Tribolium castaneum: one gene and its partners. The protein of the gene in region 3 purifies or fractionates together with the protein of the main gene of each other region. This does not show direct contact. Links are inferred from orthologs where the notes say so. Each region holds a gene or a part of one and is shown on either strand. Other genes may lie near its edges.

Evidence for each region.
Region 1: the proteins of inhibitor of apoptosis 2 (region 3) and uncharacterized protein LOC103312947 purify together in Drosophila melanogaster (affinity purification with western blotting; 3 studies listed by BioGRID). This does not show direct contact. The link is inferred for Tribolium castaneum from reciprocal best matches to the Drosophila melanogaster genes Diap2 and Fadd.
Region 2: the proteins of inhibitor of apoptosis 2 (region 3) and Dredd purify together in Drosophila melanogaster (affinity purification with western blotting; 3 studies listed by BioGRID). This does not show direct contact. The link is inferred for Tribolium castaneum from reciprocal best matches to the Drosophila melanogaster genes Diap2 and Dredd.

Annotation. Positions count from the first base shown.
Region 1 is NC_087398.1:10,611,868-10,617,543, forward strand, and holds uncharacterized protein LOC103312947, read right to left. Parts: upstream 2,509-5,676; 5' UTR 2,346-2,508; coding exon 2,021-2,345; intron 1,973-2,020; coding exon 1,686-1,972; 3' UTR 1,630-1,685; downstream 1-1,629. Other genes in the region: eukaryotic translation initiation factor 4E-1A, read left to right, coding at 498-524, 677-852, 906-1,083, 1,134-1,221, 1,309-1,472.
Region 2 is NC_087398.1:10,956,791-10,963,747, forward strand, and holds the start of Dredd (caspase-8), read right to left. Parts: upstream 3,921-6,957; 5' UTR 3,809-3,920; coding exon 3,709-3,808; intron 3,700-3,708; exon of another isoform or gene 3,647-3,699; intron 3,597-3,646; coding exon 3,472-3,596; intron 3,428-3,471; coding exon 2,636-3,427; intron 964-2,635; coding exon 747-963; intron 693-746; coding exon 552-692; intron 499-551; coding exon 171-498; intron 1-170. Other genes in the region: leucine-rich repeat-containing protein 15, read right to left, coding at 4,172-5,500. UniProt on the Drosophila melanogaster protein: Effector of the programmed cell death (PCD) activators rpr, grim and hid. May play an apoptotic role in the germline as well as soma. Fadd interacts with Dredd to promote cleavage of Dredd and is necessary and sufficient for enhancing Dredd-induced apoptosis.
Region 3 is NC_087397.1:2,707,156-2,714,312, forward strand, and holds inhibitor of apoptosis 2, read right to left. Parts: upstream 4,124-7,157; coding exon 3,203-4,123; intron 1,459-3,202; coding exon 895-1,458; downstream 1-894. Other genes in the region: Acat1 (acetyl-CoA acetyltransferase, mitochondrial), read left to right, coding at 5,297-5,320, 5,371-6,581, 6,677-6,950.

The DNA of each region.
Region 1 (5,676 bases), on a different chromosome or scaffold from region 3:
CATTTCAAAAAAGATTGCTTAATTGCTGCGTATATTTGGTTGCCTGTACTAGAAAGATGGTCGATTAATGGGTTCAGTATCGCACGATTACAAAATTGTAACATAACATGACAGGCAATTCATATGTATAGTTAATAACGGTCAATAGGAAAATTATCCACCTGCTATTTAAGCCTACAAATCATCTAATTTGGACACTGACAGGGTAGGCAACACATTATATACATATATCAATTGTTTAAATTTATAAAATGGCTATTTTAATTCGCACTTTTGGCGAGTTTTTATGATTTTTGGTACATTTTAAAATAAACGTTTGCTTGTATTTAAGGAAGTTTTTTTGAATCTGCTTAAGTTTGGTATTTGAAAATCCCGCTGTTGGTGTGGCACTATGCAACCGGCCGGTTTCCTTCATTTTACAAAGTTGGCACAGAATCGGTGATAGGTGGAAAAGCAACCAACTTTCATCGCGCTGATTAGCGAATTACTTTAAGAAAATGTCTTCAAATTCGATAGAAAGCGAGGTAAGGCCCTGCTAATCCAACTATAAAAACTTTGGGTCATGTTTCAATCGGTAATTGTTGATATTTTCCAAGATTTGTCACAGCCCCGGCAATTCTGCCATATTGCATTCACATGACCATCCCTTGTAATTTTTTGTGTTGCTTCGCCACAGAACGAAAAAAACGACCTAAAGACTGAGAACGACATAGACATCGCGCAGGATTTTTCCATCAAACACCCGCTCCAAAACTGCTGGACACTTTGGTACTACGAGAATGACAGGAGCCAGACGTGGGAGAAGAACCAGAAGGAAATCGCCTCGTTTCAGACCGTTGAGGACTTCTGGAGGTAGTTATTGTGTTCAGGACACGGTGATGAGTGCTACTTGTGGCAAATTTCAGTTTATACAATCACATTAAGCCCGCAAGTGAGCTGAGACAAGGGAACGACTATTCCCTGTTCAAGAGGGGCATCAGGCCCATGTGGGAGGATGAAGCGAACAAACGCGGGGGGCGTTGGCTTATTAACTTAGACAAGAAACAGAGGACCAACGAGCTTGACCGGTACTGGCTTGATATTGTAAGTTCTTGCATAACGTCCGATTAAATTTCACACTTGACCTCCTTCAGATCTTGTGTCTAATTGGGGAAGCGTTCGAGCATTCGGATGAAATCTGCGGGGCGGTAGTCAATATTCGAGGAAAGGGTGATAAGATCGGTAGGTGACTAATCTAGGTTGGCGATATTGGGTAGTAATTGTTGCCAACTTAACAAGTCATGGGTCACTTCGATTTGTTGATTTCAGGGGTCTGGACTTCCGACGCCACAAAAAGCGCGGCTGTCATCGAAATCGGCAAAAAACTGAAGGAGCGGCTGCATATACCGCCAAGGACGGTTTTAGGATACCAAATCCACAAAGACACTCAGGACAAGTCTGGTTCCGTTACCAAGAATTCATACACCGTTTAATTAGAGTAACCGTTGAAATGTTTTCGTTTTGAGAATGTTCGTATTGGTATTGATTTCCCATGGTTTATTTGAATATATTTATTTCATTTTCTACTTTATTAATCTCGTTTTGTATGCCAGGATATTGTTGCGTTTGTATATAATTAAAGACGAGACACTTGTTTGAACTTTATATTTTTATAAAAATAACAACAGCTCGTTAACAATTATAAATTATGGAAAATCGAATATATCCTGCACTTTCAATCTGAGGTCCTTCCGCCTTGCGTCCGTTAAAGCTTCCAATAATTTACTACGCCACCTATATCTATCACAGTTTTGTTCGTGAAAAGCCAAAATCTTGTAGGCCCTAGCTGATGTGCTCCTCACAGTGTTTAAGTCGTCTATGTCGCCCTCAGGGATGCCCAAAGCCCGAGCAAAGTCGGTCCATTTTTGGCCGATTCCCTCGGCTATGCATTTGTACACCCTATCCTTGGTACTTTTTGGTATTCTAACAAAACCTAAATTCACATTTTTGCATTATAATTACAGTAAAGTGAGGCGACTACCTGAGTATTCCTCTGGACTATGACTATTACAAGCGTTGCAATTAACGTGATTGTCTTCAATTTGAACATTTCTGAGACTGTGTAACACTTCCGGTTGTTTAAACTCACTAGCTATGTCACTCAAAGCCTGGGTGTTACTAGAGTTGAGATAATTTCGTTTTTCCAAAACTTTAATTAGCTCTGACAGCGACCTTATGTTCTCCAACCTTCTGTTAGAGTTGATCACAGTTTGGTACCTCTCCTTCAGGATTTTCAATTGTTCACTTGGACAACGTATACTTGCAATTTCATTGCACAGCATTTTATAATTGGAGTTCGTTGACATTATTTTAGAGCTCAAATCAACCGAGAGACAAGCAATTACATGAATCAGTCTTTAAAACATCACACACTCCTATTTTTAGGTCGATTTTGGCATATTTTTAACCTCAATCTGTCAGTGTCATTTCTAAACGTCACATTACCAATGTCGGTGAAGATAGCACCAAAAATGATGCAGGTACTATGAACATTACAGTCGACCAGACAATTGCTGCGCCCACCATACTCATTTTCTAAAGCCAAGTTCACACCAGAAAAATTATCAAAATAATCGTAAATCATTCGTCAACAAGCTGTTACGCTGACTTGCTTATCACATTTGTAAAACATCTCCTGACCATTCTAATGTGTTTCTATTACAAATTAAAACTTAATTGCATTTAATTTCTGCATTTATTCTCATATTCAAGCAATACACTCTCTTTATATCTTCCAATTTTCTTTATTTTTGCAGGAGATTAAGCCCTCCAATAGGGCCTTCGACCGTAAAACAATCATGTTCTGACAAACACCCCTTGGGACCTTAACGATTTTTTTTTAATTTTTATAAAATTTCTGGATTTTGTAAACTCGTATTTAAGGATTGCTCTAATTAGTCAAATTAATAACTAATTTGTCCAGCAAGAACCACGTGGAGGTTTAGAGCATTCTTGCCAGGAAAAAAGGATATAAGGATGAGGTAAACGATGATTTTTAGAAAATAAAGGGAATAAAGGAGTTAGTGGTTTGTGTAATGAAAAAAAAATACAACACAAAAATATAGTACACCTACCTTCGGATTGCTTCTGCGTTGGCTACTGTTTGTAGCAAAACATTAATAAGAAATTAAAACCACCATTAAAAAAATCTTTATTTGCATTAAAGTTACAACAAGCAACTGTTATCAATATTACACAAAGTAAAGAATACACAATACGTTATAATATATGGTACACAAATTATTAAATTCAATACCTCACAAGATAAACACAAAAAAATGCACCTACCTTCATTTCGCTTCTGCGTTGGCTACTGTTTGTAGCAAAGTTACAACAAGCTACTTTTATCAATATTAAACAAAATAATAAATACACAGTACGTTTCAATATATAATGGCACTCAAATTATTAATTTCAACACCGCATTTAGAGCCGGTGTATACAACATTGTAATTGTAATTAAATTTTAAGGAATTATTGGTTTCTGAAATAAAAAGACAACAACACAAAAATAAAATGGACGTACCTTCATATCGCTTCCACGTTGGCTACCGTTTGTAGCATTAAAAAAATAATAATAATAAAAATGAAACCAAAAAAAAAAAAGTTTATTTGCATTAAATTTTGAGCAAGCCACTTTCATTCATTGAAATTAAAGACAAAATTAATACGTGGCAATAAATTGTTTGAGTGTTTGATTTATTTATAGTTACTGTATTTAGAATGAGTCACTCAAACAATGACTTTTCAACACCGTATTTAGAGCCGGTGTACACAACATTGTAATTGCAATTAAATTTTAAGGAATTATTGGTTGGTGAAATAAAAAGACAACAACACAAAAATAAAATGGACGTACCTTCATATCCCTTCCACATTGGCTACCGTTTGTAGCATTAAAAAAAATTAAAAACAACACCAATGAAAAAATCTTTATTTGCATGAAAATTACAACAAGCGACATAATTTTACGGTTGTAAAAAACAATCAACAATGTTATATTTAAGGATTGCTCTAATTGGTCAAATTAGTCAATAACTAATTAAAAATTAAAAATTAGTCAATAACTAATTTGTCCAGCAAGAACCACGTGGAGGTTTAGAGCATTCTTGCCAGGAAAAAAGGATATAAGGATGAGGTAAACAATGATTATTTGAAAATGAAGGAAATAAAGGAATTATTGGTTTGTGAAATGAAAAAATAGTACACAAAAATCAAACCTTTTTCACTTTGCGTTAAATAAATGCTCTTAGCTTTTGTACTGCATCTGCTACCATTTGTAGCAAACCTAAAAAATAAATTAAAAACACAACCAACAAAAAAATTAATTTGTAGGAAAGTTACAACAAGCGTCTTTAATAAATATTATACAGAATAAAGGATACACAATACGGTATAATATATGGCACACAAGCTATTAAATTCAACACATCACAAGATAAAACGCAAAAAAATGCACCTACCTTCATATGGCTTCTGCGTTGGCTACTGTTTGTAGCAAGACATTTAAAAAATTAAAACAACACCAATAAAAATCTTTATTTGCATGAAAGTTACAACAAGCAATGATTGTCAATATTAAACAAAATAAAAAATACACAATACTTTTCAATATGTGGCAATTCAAATTCAAATCAAATTCAATACCTCAGTAAATAAATGCACCTACCTTCATATCGCTTCCACGTTGGCTACTGTTTGTAGCATTAAAAATAATAATAATAAAAATGAAGCCAAAAATAAATGTCTATTTGCATTAAATTTTGAACAAGCCACTTTCATTCATTGAAATTAAAGATAAAATTATTACGTGGCAATAAATTATTTGAGTGTTTTATTTTATTTATAGTTACTGAATTTAAAATGTGTCACTCAAACTATCACTTTTCAACATCGCATTTAAAGATTTTAATTGCAATTAAGTTTTATGAAATTGTTGGTTTGTGAAATAAATAAATACGACACAGCAATAAAATACACCTACCTTCATATCGCTTCCACGTTGGCTACCGTTTGTAGCATTAAAAATAATAATAATAAAAATGAAGCCAAAAATAAATGTTTATTTGCATTAAATTTTGAGCAAGCCACTTTCATTCATTGAAATTAAAGACAAAATTATTACGTGGCAATAAATTATTTGAGTGTTTTATTTTATTTATAGTTACTGAATTTAAAATGTGTCACTCAAACTATCACTTTTCAACACCGCATTTAAAGATTTTAATTGCAATTAAGTTTTATGAAATTATTGGTTTGTGAAATAAATAAATACGACACAGCAATAAAATACACCTACCTTCATATCGCTTCCACGTTGGCTACCGTTTGTAGCATTAAAAAAAATTAAAAACAACACCAATGAAAAAATCTTTATTTGCATGAAAATTACAACAAGCGACATAATTTTACGGCTGTAAAAAACAATCAACAATGTTATATTTAAGGATTGCTCTAATTGGTCAAATTAGTCAATAACTAATTAAAAATTAAAAATTAGTCAATAACAAATTTCTCCAGCAAGAACCACGTGGAGGTTTAGAGCATTCTTGCCAGGAAAAAAGGATATAAGGATGAGGTAAACAATGATTATTTGAAAATGAAGGAAATAAAGGAATTATTGGTTTGTGAAATGAA
Region 2 (6,957 bases), on a different chromosome or scaffold from region 3:
ATAAAAGACTGTTTTCGAATTTTTTGGTTTATTTTTTGAACAAAAATTATTTGAGTTTTCATTAAAAAAATTAAATATAATTGAAATTAAGTTAGCAACATTTTTCAGTTTTTCAGTGTCACCAACTTAATTTAAAAATCATATTGCTTAATAATTTTTTAAAAACTTACACTCTAACGGGTGGCAGATAAAACAGTTTCCTGAATGTGGACTCCTTTTCTGGCACCATTGCCACTTCGTCCTTCTCTTGGCACCATTTTTTCCTACTTACGTCCCCTATAACACTGGTGCAGATATCATCGAAATGGTACTTATGCCCCAATTCTTTCATTTTTCCGCACAAGGACTGAATAAACCAGGATCCTGTTTTTTTGTTCCTTATTGCACCATAGCCTGGAACTGTGGCCCAGAAAGTGAACAAATCTGCTATTGGCGGGACTGATTCTTGGACAGGTGACGAAGGACCGTCTGTTTCAATGTCATCGTCATCTGACTGAACTAATACAATAAAAATAAATTTTTATAAAGTTACAAGAATCAACCAATCGTACTTTTTTGACATCTGGTGCCTTGACAAGACTGGAGGATTAAAACTTTGGGTTTCCCCGATAAATGTGGGCGATTTTTGGTACACATCACACGTTTAATTGCTTTGACGTCGACTTGGCAACTATTAACGCCGTAAACGACACCTAATAGAGATAAAAGATAAATAACTGCATCACAAGGAAAATAAATCAACCAACCTACATCACCATGAGACATTATAGAAATGAAAAGGCTCGACTCATCGTTAACGCTTTGCACTACTTCTTCTATTTTTCGTAGCATTTCCAAATGAGTGAGATTATTTTCTACAATAGTTTTGAAACCAAATTGTCGGAAAGTGGCTTCAAGCTTGTCTCGGTCGTATTGTGTACCAATCCTAAGTTCTAATTTGTTGTCCCGGCGTGGAAGCAAGTGCTAGTAATGAAGAAACATTACGAAGTGCTTTCTACTAAATTTCTGATCAAATAAATGACTCGGAAAGACTGGATTAATGGGTGGTATTAATAAAATGCTTTTACTTAAAGCATTTGCTTATGATTCTAAGGAATTGTTTGTCTCTTGTGTGTCACTTAAAAAACTTGAAGTATCACTTCCTTCAAGTAAATTGAATTTAATTTCTGGTTTAAGGATTTCATAAGAGAAGGAAGACACGTAAAAGATGCAAAATAAAATACTCTACAGTTAGAATAATTATTAATTATACCATTGTAGAATGCCTCGGGATTTCTCATCTTATCATGAATCTTTGCGTGAGAAAAAAGAATCCGAATTTTTAGTTATAGTAAAATTATTACAAAATAATTGATAAACATACATACTGCTATATATAAAAAAAAAACAGATAAAAATGTAACTGGCAATAAAAAAATAAAGCTATGAAACTTTTATAGGGGAATACCTAATCCTACATTAACAAAAATTCCTAATGGAATAGAATGGAGCTAATTCAGCAGAAGAATACAAGAAGAGTTTCCCTCAATATGGAATACTCTTAAAAAATTTCCACCGCGACATGTTAGATCTTCATCTATTAACGCCTTTACTTCAAAAACAGATGAAACAAAAAATCTTTTATATTTATGAATTTAAAAGTTCTTAGCCTGCAAAAAATAATAATTGAAAATAATGTGAATGTGAGTACTTTTGAGGACTATTATATTATGATTTTGTTTACTTTACACTTGTTTACTTTAAAAAATAAGTTATTAAATTATTGCAAATTGTATAAAAAATACATATTAAGCTCTGTATATGGCTGCAGCTTTTATTTTTGCCTCCAGTTGTCTATAATTTGATAAGTCAAACAATTAGCAGAAGCATTCGCTTAATTTTGTAAGCTTGTCCTTGTCTTTATTAATACAGAAATATGCATTTCTTTTGCATTAACTTATGCTAATCAAAATTATGAAAACCTTATACTTAAATTCTTATCCTTACTTTTATTATTTTATTTTATTTTCAGGAAACGTTTCACTCGTTTCCTGAAAAGTTAAGTAAAGCTAGAGATGTTACCTGTTGGAAATAGACCGCCCATTTATTATTTTATTTAGAAAACAGCATACAGTTTCATTTCATTTTTTCATTTAAACGTTTATTTTTTATAAAAACTCTAAAATTATTTTTAGTTTTTACCTCGTTAATGCTTGGTTACAAATATTTAATACGAGATATCAACTAGTCTGAGAGATAATAATTAAGATTGGATTTAGAAAGAACATACAATTGTAATTTTTTTTATTACCTACTCTTCTTAAGTTTTCACAAGCAAACAGTATTTTTTCCAAGCATATTTTCTTAAAACACCCTTTGGTTGTAAAAAAATGATGAACTTACAATCACTGCTTAACGCATTAATAATTTTTTTTTGTTTTCTCAAAATACCTTGGCAAGACAAATGCAAGTGACAATCCCTACAAGGATTTTCGTAATTTTTGCAGAAAACAGAGCTTAATTAAAGGTCTTTTAACTATAAAAAACAATGACAAATCAACAGTTACTCCTTAGAACCTTACATATTTTTTTCTTTTGTCAATTTTTGATCAGAAATTTTGAGAGCATGGTACAAAACACCTCTCCCCCAACTTACTCGATATTTTCTGTCCACTTCTCTGTAGAAATTCTCTTGATTGATGATCAAACAAATGCCAGGTCTTTCTGGATCAATAAAATATTTATTTTCATCGCTGACAAAAGCTGCATTGTCTGCACTGATATGCGACGTCTCCAGCGAGGCCAGACTAAGCAAACTGGACTTTGGATCTAAAATTCCCTCAAACACACTCACTGACTGTCTTTTTTCACTCTCACTAGAATCTACTCTTTTATCTACACTTCTACTCTCAGCAGATTTGTGCACAATTGGCACAATTTCTCTCAGTTTATCACAAATATCCAACTGGTCAATTTGCTTGAGAACTCTACACAAATTACTCAAATCGTCCAGTTTTACGTACCCCACAGTCTCCCAATGCAGCAAATACAACTCCAAAAATTGCGCATTAATGCACTTAAAATCCAGCCCCTTCTCCCTGAAGTCCTTACACGCCAAGTTGAGCAAATTCTCAACGTCCTTCTGCTGCAACGCCTCGCAGACGAAATAGAGGGCCTTTCTGACTTTGTTCACATAGGCGTACGTGAAAATGTGGTGCGGTAAAAACCGAGCGGTTAAATCCTCCCGTTTGAAGCCCAAACTTGATATGATTTGGTAATTCTGGATGATGCAAAGTGCCTCAACCAGCTTTTCTTGCCACTTCCGACCGGCTAAGTTCTCATGAATTGCCCAATTATACAAGAGTTTGTCATGGGACCCTTGGAGCAATTTCGTTAGTTGAACAAACGCAGATTTGGGGTCTTCGTAAATCAAAAACACAAGGGCCACCTGTAACCATTCTTTATTAAAGGATAGCTCCCAGAAATAACTACCTTCTCGTAGTCATCCAAGTCGTTTTCAATGGACATAACTTGGTCCACATTTAGCGTTATTGGCATCGCTGGTTGCGATAAACTGGCGTCTATGGTGTCAGTGGAGTCCAAACAATTGTCCTCATCTAAAACATCGCTCAAATTAATACTAAATTACTGGAATTAAATACGTAACAAAAAGTGGGGTTATGTTGCAAAAAATGACACTTGAGATCAAAAGTTGATAAACAAATTTACCAAAGGTAGGTTGATTTTTGCACGACACCTCGTTGCTTTCCTCTTCGGAACACGAATCGTCGGAATAATCATTTCCTTGGCTTGAAAACAATCCACCCATTGTCGTTGGTTTTAAATAACAATTAATTCGATAAACTGATTAAAACACGTAACTCAACAAGGGACTTCCCCGTGATGGCATCCATGCGAAAAATCCCTAGGTTTTAATCAAAGGACATGAGCCAAACAGTAAATCAATAAAAAGATGACTGCGATATCGATAAATTGGCTGCGAATTGATTTGGAACAACAAAATTTAATTTTTTACGTTAATACTTTAATTAAATTCTTAATCAAAACAGAAAATATCCTACTAAACATAGGACGCAATCGTGTAGAACGCCATTCAAACAGGCGGTAAATTTAATAATTTCGCTCTGGGACAACAATAAAACTACAAACAAAGTTTTTAATCAATATTAGATCAAATTGGTTGTTGTGACACAGAACTAACAATGCGTTTTATTTTTGGCCACTGGGAAAGAAATGTTTTAATCTTTTCCACACAATCCTCCCGCCAGGGATTCCCCTCCAGATGCACAAAGTCCACCCTTCTGAAAGCCTCCTCTAAATTTCCCTCCACACACCCCAGCTTATTTCCACTCAAATCCACACTTCCCACCGTCGCATTAGCCAGCCATTCTGGGTCCAAATCCACAATCAAATTATCCCTCAAACTAAAATTCACCACTTTCTCCAACCCCGCGAAACTTTCCCGTGAAACTTCTTTAATCAAATTTCCTTGCAAATCAATGCTGTACATTTGGGGATAATTCCGGAAGGCTTGGCCCGGCAAAGCTCCAATTCGGTTAAAACCGGCGAAAATGTAGGCCAACTTGGGGGAATTACTCAACCATTTGTCATCCCATTGGGTTAAGTTGTTGTGGTCGATGTGCAAAACACTGAGCTGAGACATGTCGTCGAATGACTTGGGTTCGATTTTCGCGATTTGGTTGTAATTTAGTTTCAAAGTTACCAGTTTCGACTGACTGAAGACACCTTCAGGGACGTGGTGAAGGGTATTAGCGGTGAGGTCCAACGTGTCCAGTGCGGGAAGATTTTTCAAGTCTCCGGGCTTTAGAACTTGAATGGAATTGAAACTCAAGTCGAGATATTTTAAATCAGGGAAATGCAAATCGATTTCGGTCAAATTGTTGTTGCTCAGGACCAGATTTGTTAAGTTTGTGATTGGTCCGTCGATTTTTCGGAGCCCATTTCCGTACAAATTCAAGCTTTGGAGTGAGACGTTTTCAAAAGTCCCGTTTCGAATCTCAGAAATTTTGTTGTTACTGAGTGTGAGATGGTGAATTTTGAGGTTTTTGAAAGCCCCAAGTTCGAGTTTGGAAATTTCATTGTCACCTAAATTCACACTTGTCAGGTTTAAGTTTGTGAAAGTTCCTCGTTCAATAACTTTGAGCTCATTGCGATTTAAAATCAAATGGGCCAGAAGTGGTAAATTTTCAATCGCTCCTGGTTTTATTTCTCTCAAGCCGACGTTTGATACTGTTAGTGATTTTAAAGTTGGTACACCACTCACTGATTTTGGGTATAAAACAGGCACTAAACCACTCAAAACCACCGAAATCTCGGTCTGAAGCTTTGGGATGTTGTCTCGAAGGTTGGCTGATGATGGAATGGTTGTGGTGTTACGATCTGTGCTTGTTTTCCATTCCAGTGTTACATTTTTGAAAGAAATGGTTTCAGCTCGTGTTACACCAATCAAAAGTAAAGAAATCACAGTTGTTTTTAACATTTTAACAGTAGCTTGAAAACTGGTAGTCTTTATCGATGATGGGAATGTAAATAGAGTTCTGAAGGTCGTAGTTGGTGGCTTCAGGGTCAGAAAGATGTTGTGATAAGTTCTGCATAATTCACGCTGAGAATTGAGAAATTATAATTGACTCATCGTGCAAACAATAATTGGCGCAAAATTTTAAAATTTTGCACTAAAAATTGTTTTGTGCTATTTATCTTTTAAGAGAATTCTATGTAGTTGAAAAAACAGTTACACCTAATTGAAAATTGCATTAGATTATGCTAGCTGTATTAATAAAACAACTAAGATACACATTAAAGTGTATCAGATTGTGCAGTTCTATTTTATTTGACCAGATTTTTCTTTTCTTACTACGTATACTACTTTTTGGCCAGAAAATAATGTTACCTTACTACTACTAGTTTTCTTGATTTTTGGGATCATTTTACTCTACTCTCCCCTACATCACTTTAACAATTCAACAAATTAATGCGAAAAGAATGATAGATGCGGACAGATCACTCAGTTTAGGTCAAGCTAGACGTTGAAAAGCCGTGATAATTTTTCCAAAATTTTAAATTTATAACTAAAAGAAAAAAATCACAACAAATAAAAATAAGATGTCTTTGTCTAAAAAATTGCACAGTATCCCTTTTCATTATACTAATTTACTCTTTTCTTTAATAGAATTGTAACAAAAAATGATTCTAAAATATTTTTATTGTTATCCGAATAATTATAATTTTTATAAATGTATCGACGACTGCAGAAAGTGCTTTTTTTCCAGTGAATTAATTTTTCCGTGAGCTTTTTGGACAGTGGGGCTTTTATTCATGTGAGTTTTTTTTCTGAATGGTCTTTTTTCATTCTGGGTGGGCTTTTGTGTTTGTATGTTTTTTTCTATGTGTTTTTTTCCGTATGAATATTTTTCGGTGTGAGTTTTTTTCTGTGTGGGCTTTTTCTGTAGACTTTCTTCTTGTGCGCCTTTATTGTGTGGGTTTATTTCATGGATACTTTTTTTAACGGCATGCTATTACTTTTTGCGATCATTAAGATACCCCTTTAGTTTCTTACCTGTCCCTAAAGTTTTTTCATATCGCTGCAAAAAAAATGGTTTTACATCTTTAATTTAAAAAATTAGGAAATAATAATAATAATAATAATAATAATAATAATAATAATAATATAATAACAATAATAATAATAATATAATAACAATAATAACAATAATAATAATAATAATAATAATAATAATAATAATAATAATAATAATAATAATAATAATAATATAACAATAATAATAATAAAGGAAACCGAGCTTTTTGAATGAAATTATTACAAAGTGCGTGTTGAACAAGGTCCAAGAGACTTACTAATTAAGTTTGATTGATCTGAATTGCTACAGAGTGTTCATAATTTACTTCCAATAAGTTTTTCAATCTTAAATGGAAACC
Region 3 (7,157 bases):
ACTGCCCCTCATATGTAATAAAACTTGTTAATAATGACGCAGTATAAGGGTGATAGAATTTTTCGGAGAAACAGATAAAAAAATACCTTGAAGTATTACTGTATTATCGCAACAATAATTAAAAAAAAACTTTTACAATGCAAGATACATCGTAATAAACAAAGCTAATTGAAATTTTCTCGTTCCCTGATAAAACTGGAGTGTTTTATTGTTGTTACATAATTAAAAAATAGAATGTCGGAGCCGCTTTGGCGCGCAATTTGCCTACAAAAGGAATATTTGTGAAGGCATCGACCTGCGAGTACGAAGATCACGTTTAATCGCTTTTATCAGTCAATAACAACTCATTGTCTCCATTTGACCAATTATTTGGCTCGTGGTCTGTCAAGGAATGCGGCCCAGCAGATGATCCCGCACCTGGCCTTGCACCTGTTCCCCAAACATCTGCCTTTCGAAAAACACAAAATTGTTGATACAGTCGAGTTGTACTGAGAAAGAACCGTAACGCAAATATTACGGTTATTTTGTTGCGACCAAGTCGTGCTACTTGGGTGTTATTCGATAAAGGCAACCAAGTGGGTGTTCCTACGTGAGCACTCCGTCGCTTAAGGCAACATTTGGGTCTTGCCCTTACCACAAGCCGGGTTTGATTTCCCACAGAATTTCGTAACTCGAATTACATCACAAGGACATTAATACTCACTTTTCAAATTGAGAGATTGCCAATTCCGGCGCTGCACATAACTGGGCGGTCCGGGGCCATAACTGGATTGATTGATCCAGTTTGGCGGTTTTATTCCGCTGTGATATGTTATCACCGATAGGAAACAAAGGCTTTGGAGTTGAATGAAAGCAGTCGTGTTATAAAATAAATTTATTGAGTTTAATAAATAGTTATGACAAAAACGTTCTAACAGTGGCCTTGATGGCGGATCTACATAGAGGGCAATCTTCCAAATTCGGTGCACAATTAACACACGTCGTTAAATGTCCGCACGGCAGAAACACTATACCGACCTCGGCGTCCATACAAATCTTACACAGTCTTGCCTCTTTCAGAATTCGATTTTCTTCTTCTAGCGATAAAGTTTTATTGGATCTTGATTCCTTAACTATCGGTTCGTTTTCCGTTTTAATCTCACTCGAACAACTCCGTGCAATTATATTATCTAAAACATTTTCTACGACATTCTTCACGTGAGTGTCCTGATCATCGGACAAGTCCTCCTCGCTGTGCTGGAGATTGAGAGCGGCTTCGACCAAAGCGTCCGGCTGTGAGTAGCCGCGGCCAGTCTGTTCCAACTTCTCCCGAATCGCCCTTTTCACCCTTTCGACATTCAAGCCGATGCTAAGGGCCGACAGGGCCACTTCCCCCAACATATGCTCCTGGATTTCTTGCTCGGTGACCTCGCGCTTTCGCGACTGGACACTCGGGTAGTTCTTCTGGTCGACCTCCTCCTGAAACACAAATTGAAACGTTTTATGGCGCCGATCTTGCGAGATGGAATTTCTTTTCTTCAGAGAATTTCATTATGTTGCCGCTTTTGTAAGCCGACAAGGTTTCTACGAAAAGAGGCAAAGCCGAGAGGTAAATTCTTCGGTCCCTAATTCCCGGAAAGGTGGAATGTTGGGACAGTTCGGCGAACTTCTGGCGCCAAGATTTTTTCAGATAAGATAAGCTAATCCAGGAAATTGGGGCGAATTATTAAATTTTTTTGGGGCATTTTTAACTCGAACTGCATTCCGACCTTTTCTATAACGGTTTGAGTGGTCTGGAAACGCCCATCGGATTCTTTTCCACTTGCATAGTTACTGCCTTTGTCATAACAATTACGTAAACCAGGGACGGACTCTTTGTCTAGTCCATTAATAACAGGAAATCAATTGCTACGGAAAAATGCCTTATTTACATAAGAAAATTAACCGGGAAGGAGACCGCTGTCCGCTATTATTTTTATATTAACTTAAACTGCACACGAGCTGTGGTAGGCTTTTCAGTATAGCAATTAAAAATCGGGTACTTTGAGCTCCTTTAACTGCAAACCATTTCTAGACCCCATTAAATGGGAGGTAAACATATTCCCCGAATGCTGAGCTGCAGGGGTTAGTGCTTAAAGAGGCACTGTTCGTCCGAGTGTTCGAATGAAACATTTGACTGAGTTTTTAAGAGAAATAATAAACAGAATGGTATTTTTTTTAGATTTAATCCCATCTTTTACATTTATTAATTTTCGTAAAAGTGAAGACTGTGACTGTAACAATAATTATCATCCTGTTTATGCATACGCTCGTTATCTGGTAAAAATAATCCATCATGTGACCTAACAGTCTCACAGTCACATGAATTAAAACAATGCAAATTCATGTCATGAGTCATGCATTCTTGATAATAAGTTCTTTGAGTGCATAGAAGGATGTGCAATTTTTCAATTTCACACATCGAAAAAAAATTGTGCAAGGTTGGCGAATATGGGACGATCAAATACGAACAAGGCCAGCAACTAAGTAATAATTAAAAACATATGGAAATAATAAATTTATAAAGTTCTTGGAAGCGAAATTAATCATTGTGTTGAATTGAAACTTGATGCAACGTCGGTCCGATTAAAATTGGTCAAGTCCTTGCATTTCTGACGTCATGCTTTTCAAAGTAATCCAATAATAAACATTGCACATTTGCGGCGCCACAAATTATAGAGAAATGAACACGAATAAAAAGTTTTCAACCTAAAACAAGTTTTTCTATTTTCACCTTGAAATGTTTACATATCAAATATCGAAAATGCAATCGTTGCATTGAGCCATCGAGGTTTCGGGGACAAGAAACATTGGTTCACACTTTCGGGAAAATGGGACAACGATTGTGTAAACATCGAACATCCGGTTTAGACTTCATTCATAAAACTAGGGACTGAAGAGTGAAGACGGTCTATGAATTGTTGCGCAATTGTCCCTTATAATCGTAGTTGTAAAAAATTATTTGGCTAATAATTTTCTTGGTTAATTGTGTACACAAATTTTCCGGAGAACTGATAATGCAGCTGTGACAAAAAACAATTTTGCGAAGTTTCCAAACGTCATATTTATAAACGGAATTTGCGCAAATTATTTTTATGACCTAGTAAGGCGCAGATAATCGTAATTAAACGATAATTGCATATTAAAATAACCATCGAATCAAGGTCGCTGATTTGGGGCTCACCAGGTTGCTGTTGACGTTGAGTTCGAGGGAGCAGGCGGTGACGAATTCCTGCCCCTTGACCAGCTTGATGAAGGAGCACCTGGGGAACCACCTGGCGTGCTCCGTCCAGGGATCGTCCTGGGGGTCCCAGTGTCTGAGGCCGCCGTCGCAGTGGAAGCACCTGACCTGGTCCCCCATTCCCTCGTAGTAGAACCCGGCTTGGGAGAGGATATCTGGGGTTTGGATCAGGTCAGGGGGCCACGTGGCGAAGGATCTCAGCCGCGATTCGAGGGTGGCGTAGTTGGGTTTTTTGGGGCCTTTGTGCGTCTGGACTCCCAGACAGTGCAAATTTTCGTTGGCGACTAGATGCAGATTGGTGAAAGACGACGAGTCTGTCTTGACTTGTCCGTTGGTGTTTTGGCTGAGTCTGGGGACGATTTCGGTGAGGACGAAAGGGCAGTCTTCGAAGTGGCGCTTGTGCTCCTGGTCGGGGTCGTCGCCCGGCTCCCACGCCCGCACCACCCCCTTGCAGAAGGCGCACTTGGTGTTGTCGCCCGTGTTGAGATAGTAGAAGCCGGCGCGGGCGAGGCGCTCGGGGGCCACGATGTGGGGCTTGGGCCACTTGGCGAAGGTTTTGAGCCGGACGGCCTCGTCCTTCATCGAGTCGGAGGTGGAAGGTACGTTTGTAGGTGATATTATAGGAACATTTCCTGAGGTAGTTGGGTTTAAGACGAAGGGGCAAGAAGGGTTGAGGGTCTTGTGTTTGGCCATTACTTGGTCGCCGTAGTTCCATTCCGAAATTGTCAAGTGGCAGGAGAAGCATTCGACGGTGACGTCGTGCTTGGTGTAGAAAAAACCGGCTTTGGCGATTCGAGGGGGTGACACAGCGGCGTCTTGAGGCCACTCTTCGAACGTGTCCAAACGGTTCTGTTCCACGTTCATTTTCGCGATTTTCACGTTATGACATTTTTTTAAATCGAGCTCAGCGCCGACTTTGAGAACCTCGCTATTAAGTAGCACGGCAGAAACACCAATATACTAAGTCTAAGACATGGGAACCGTTCCTCCTCGAACCACTTCACCAAGGACTGTCAGCTATCAGCTGACATTACTCAAACACCGGCTAGGGACCGCTTTTACCGACCCAAATGCCAAAGTCATTAGAATTCAAACGATTTTTTCTAATTTACATAATTATTACAAATTTATTCACAAAAACTATTTTTTTCCCTCCATTTTCTTTCTGTAATCGTCCATTATGTGGCACGTCAGCATCGAAGTCAGAGTTTGCAACTTTATCAAACACTCGGACTTTTTTGCATTTACAGCAGAACTAAAATTAGAAGTTAATCGACATTTTTTTGCACAAAATGTTACCTTTCGCTTGTCTCTGTCACATTTTCATGCGTTCTCATAAAGTTATCAATTTCGTACTTGATTTTGTACATCAAAACGTCAGAGGTGATATTTACGTTGTACAAAAAGTAGCCCATGTGATCATGGTCTCTAGTATTCAATTCTTCTTTGAAATTTTCAAAAAGAGCAGCGATTTTCTCGTGCAATTCTTGAAAATTCTCTCCCGATTCAACCATTTTTGAATCTTGACACGTCAGTGCCAGGGACTTTACCGCTGCCAGTGTCGCCCACCAGAGGACGAACTTTTATTGAATAAAATTTATACATTTAAAACATGTACATTCCAATAGGCAATTTTACTTTATTTTTAGTTTTAGAAGCGATTTGTTGTAAATAAATATTATATTCTACTGAACTTCTCGTTTTAAAAAAGGAGATTTAGGAAGTTTTAGTTTTATTATAGTGTCGTCTGTATCCAAGACTGGCGGTCTCCTCAAATGTACTTTATTTATTTTACAATAAACAATTATAGAATCAGAATTTGTGTTATATTTCTTTGCCTAACTAAAGACCTGTGACTATTAGCCCCAAATTATTGAGTTTTGCCCTAAATGAGCGCATTTGGCACCGTTGGTGTGGGACGATCAGCTGATAGTAAGGGCAAAGTCCTCACTAGAATACTCTTCTTTGGTTCACTTTTTCCCCACATACTTAACAGTTTACATGGTTTGAGTGCATTTATTAAACGAACAGCTCAAAATGTCTGCTTTTAAACTATCCCAGGTTGGTGTCATATCATGCAAAATCAAAAGTAGTGCCCATTTGTCCCCCAGGTCGTAACTCTCACGAACAGATCATACAGCACCAAACCGCAACTAAACGAAGTAGTCATAATTTCGGCGGCTCGCACCCCAATTGGGTCATTCCTCGGTTCCTTATCCTCTGTCCATGTCTCTAAATTGGGGGCAACAGCAATCCAAGGTGCCGTTGAACGCGCCGGTATTCCAAAAGAAGAAATTAAAGAAGTCTACATGGGGAATGTGTGCCAGGGAGGTGTGGGCCAGGCGCCGGCACGGCAGGCAACCCTCTTTGCGGGGTTCCCCAAGTCGACAATATGCACCACAATTAACAAAGTTTGCGCTTCTGGAATGAAATCCGTTATGCTGGCGGCCCAAAGCCTCCAAGCTGGCCACCAGGATGTGGTTTTAGCCGGCGGAATGGAGTCAATGTCCAACGTGCCATACTACTTGAAAAGGGGGCCCACGCCGTACGGAGGAGTGAATTTAATAGACGGAATAGTCTTTGACGGCCTCACCGACGTTTACAACAAGTTTCACATGGGGAATTGTGCCGAAAATACGGCCAAAAAGCTGGGAATCACGCGTCAACAGCAGGACGATTTCGCAATTTCGAGTTACAAAAGAAGCGCCGAGGCTTACGCAAGCAACCAATTTGCGTCAGAATTAGTCAGTGTGAGCGTGCCCCAAAAAAAAGGGCAACCCGATTTGGTGTTTGCCGCCGATGAGGAGTACAAAAGGGTCGATTTTAACAAATTTTCCAAACTTGCGACGGTCTTCCAAAGGGAAAATGGCACTGTCACCGCCGGAAACGCCTCGACTCTTAACGATGGGGCTGCTGCTCTTGTTCTCACATCTGCGGACGCTGCCAAAAGACTCAACGCGAAGCCTTTGGCCCGCGTTGTGGGCTTCGAGGACGGCGCGTGTGACCCCATTGACTTTCCGATAGCCCCAGCAGTGGCCATTCCGCGTCTTTTGAGCAACACCGGTGTCAAAAAGGAGGACGTGGCCCTTTGGGAGATTAATGAAGCTTTCAGCGTTGTGGTTTTGGCCAACCAGCAACTCCTAGACATAGACCCGGCCAAAGTGAACGTGCATGGGGGCGCTGTCAGTTTGGGGCACCCGATTGGCATGTCCGGGGCGCGACTTATTGTCCACCTGGTCCACGCGTTGAAACCGGGCCAAAAGGGGGTTGCTTCGATTTGTAACGGTGGTGGAGGCGCTTCTTCGGTTATGATTGAGAAGTTGTAAGTTTATTATCTCTGGCGATGACCTCGGCAATTGCAAAACGACCTGTTATTTTTATAAATAAATGTTTTTTAATTAACTTGTTTTTTATTAGGCAAGAGAATCTGCCGCGTAATCAGCTACCGAAATTAATATTGTACACCAAAGACCCTTGTCCTTTGTGTGACGAAGTCAAGGCCAAACTGGGGCCTTATCTTAGTAGAGTACAGTTTGAAACTGTTGATATTACGAAAAAAGAGAATGTGAGGTGGTTGAAGTTGTATAGGTTTGAAATACCTGTGCTTTTTTTGAACGGGGAGTATTTGTGTAAACACAGTTTGGACGAGAAATTGTTGGAGGAAAAGCTCAACTTGATCGAAAACAGATAATTAATTTTTCAATAAACGGAAGAACTTGCCCGAATGTGAGATGATTGAGAAAAGGAATTAATGGACGGACACCTTGACCCTTCCTTGAATACAAATCTGACGTTTAATTTTGAATAAAGCTTTGTATGATTGTGTTCGTGTTTTATTTGTAAGAAAAATGTGTTTACTGTCGGAAAATTCTATTTGCAACAATGGATTAAGAAACAA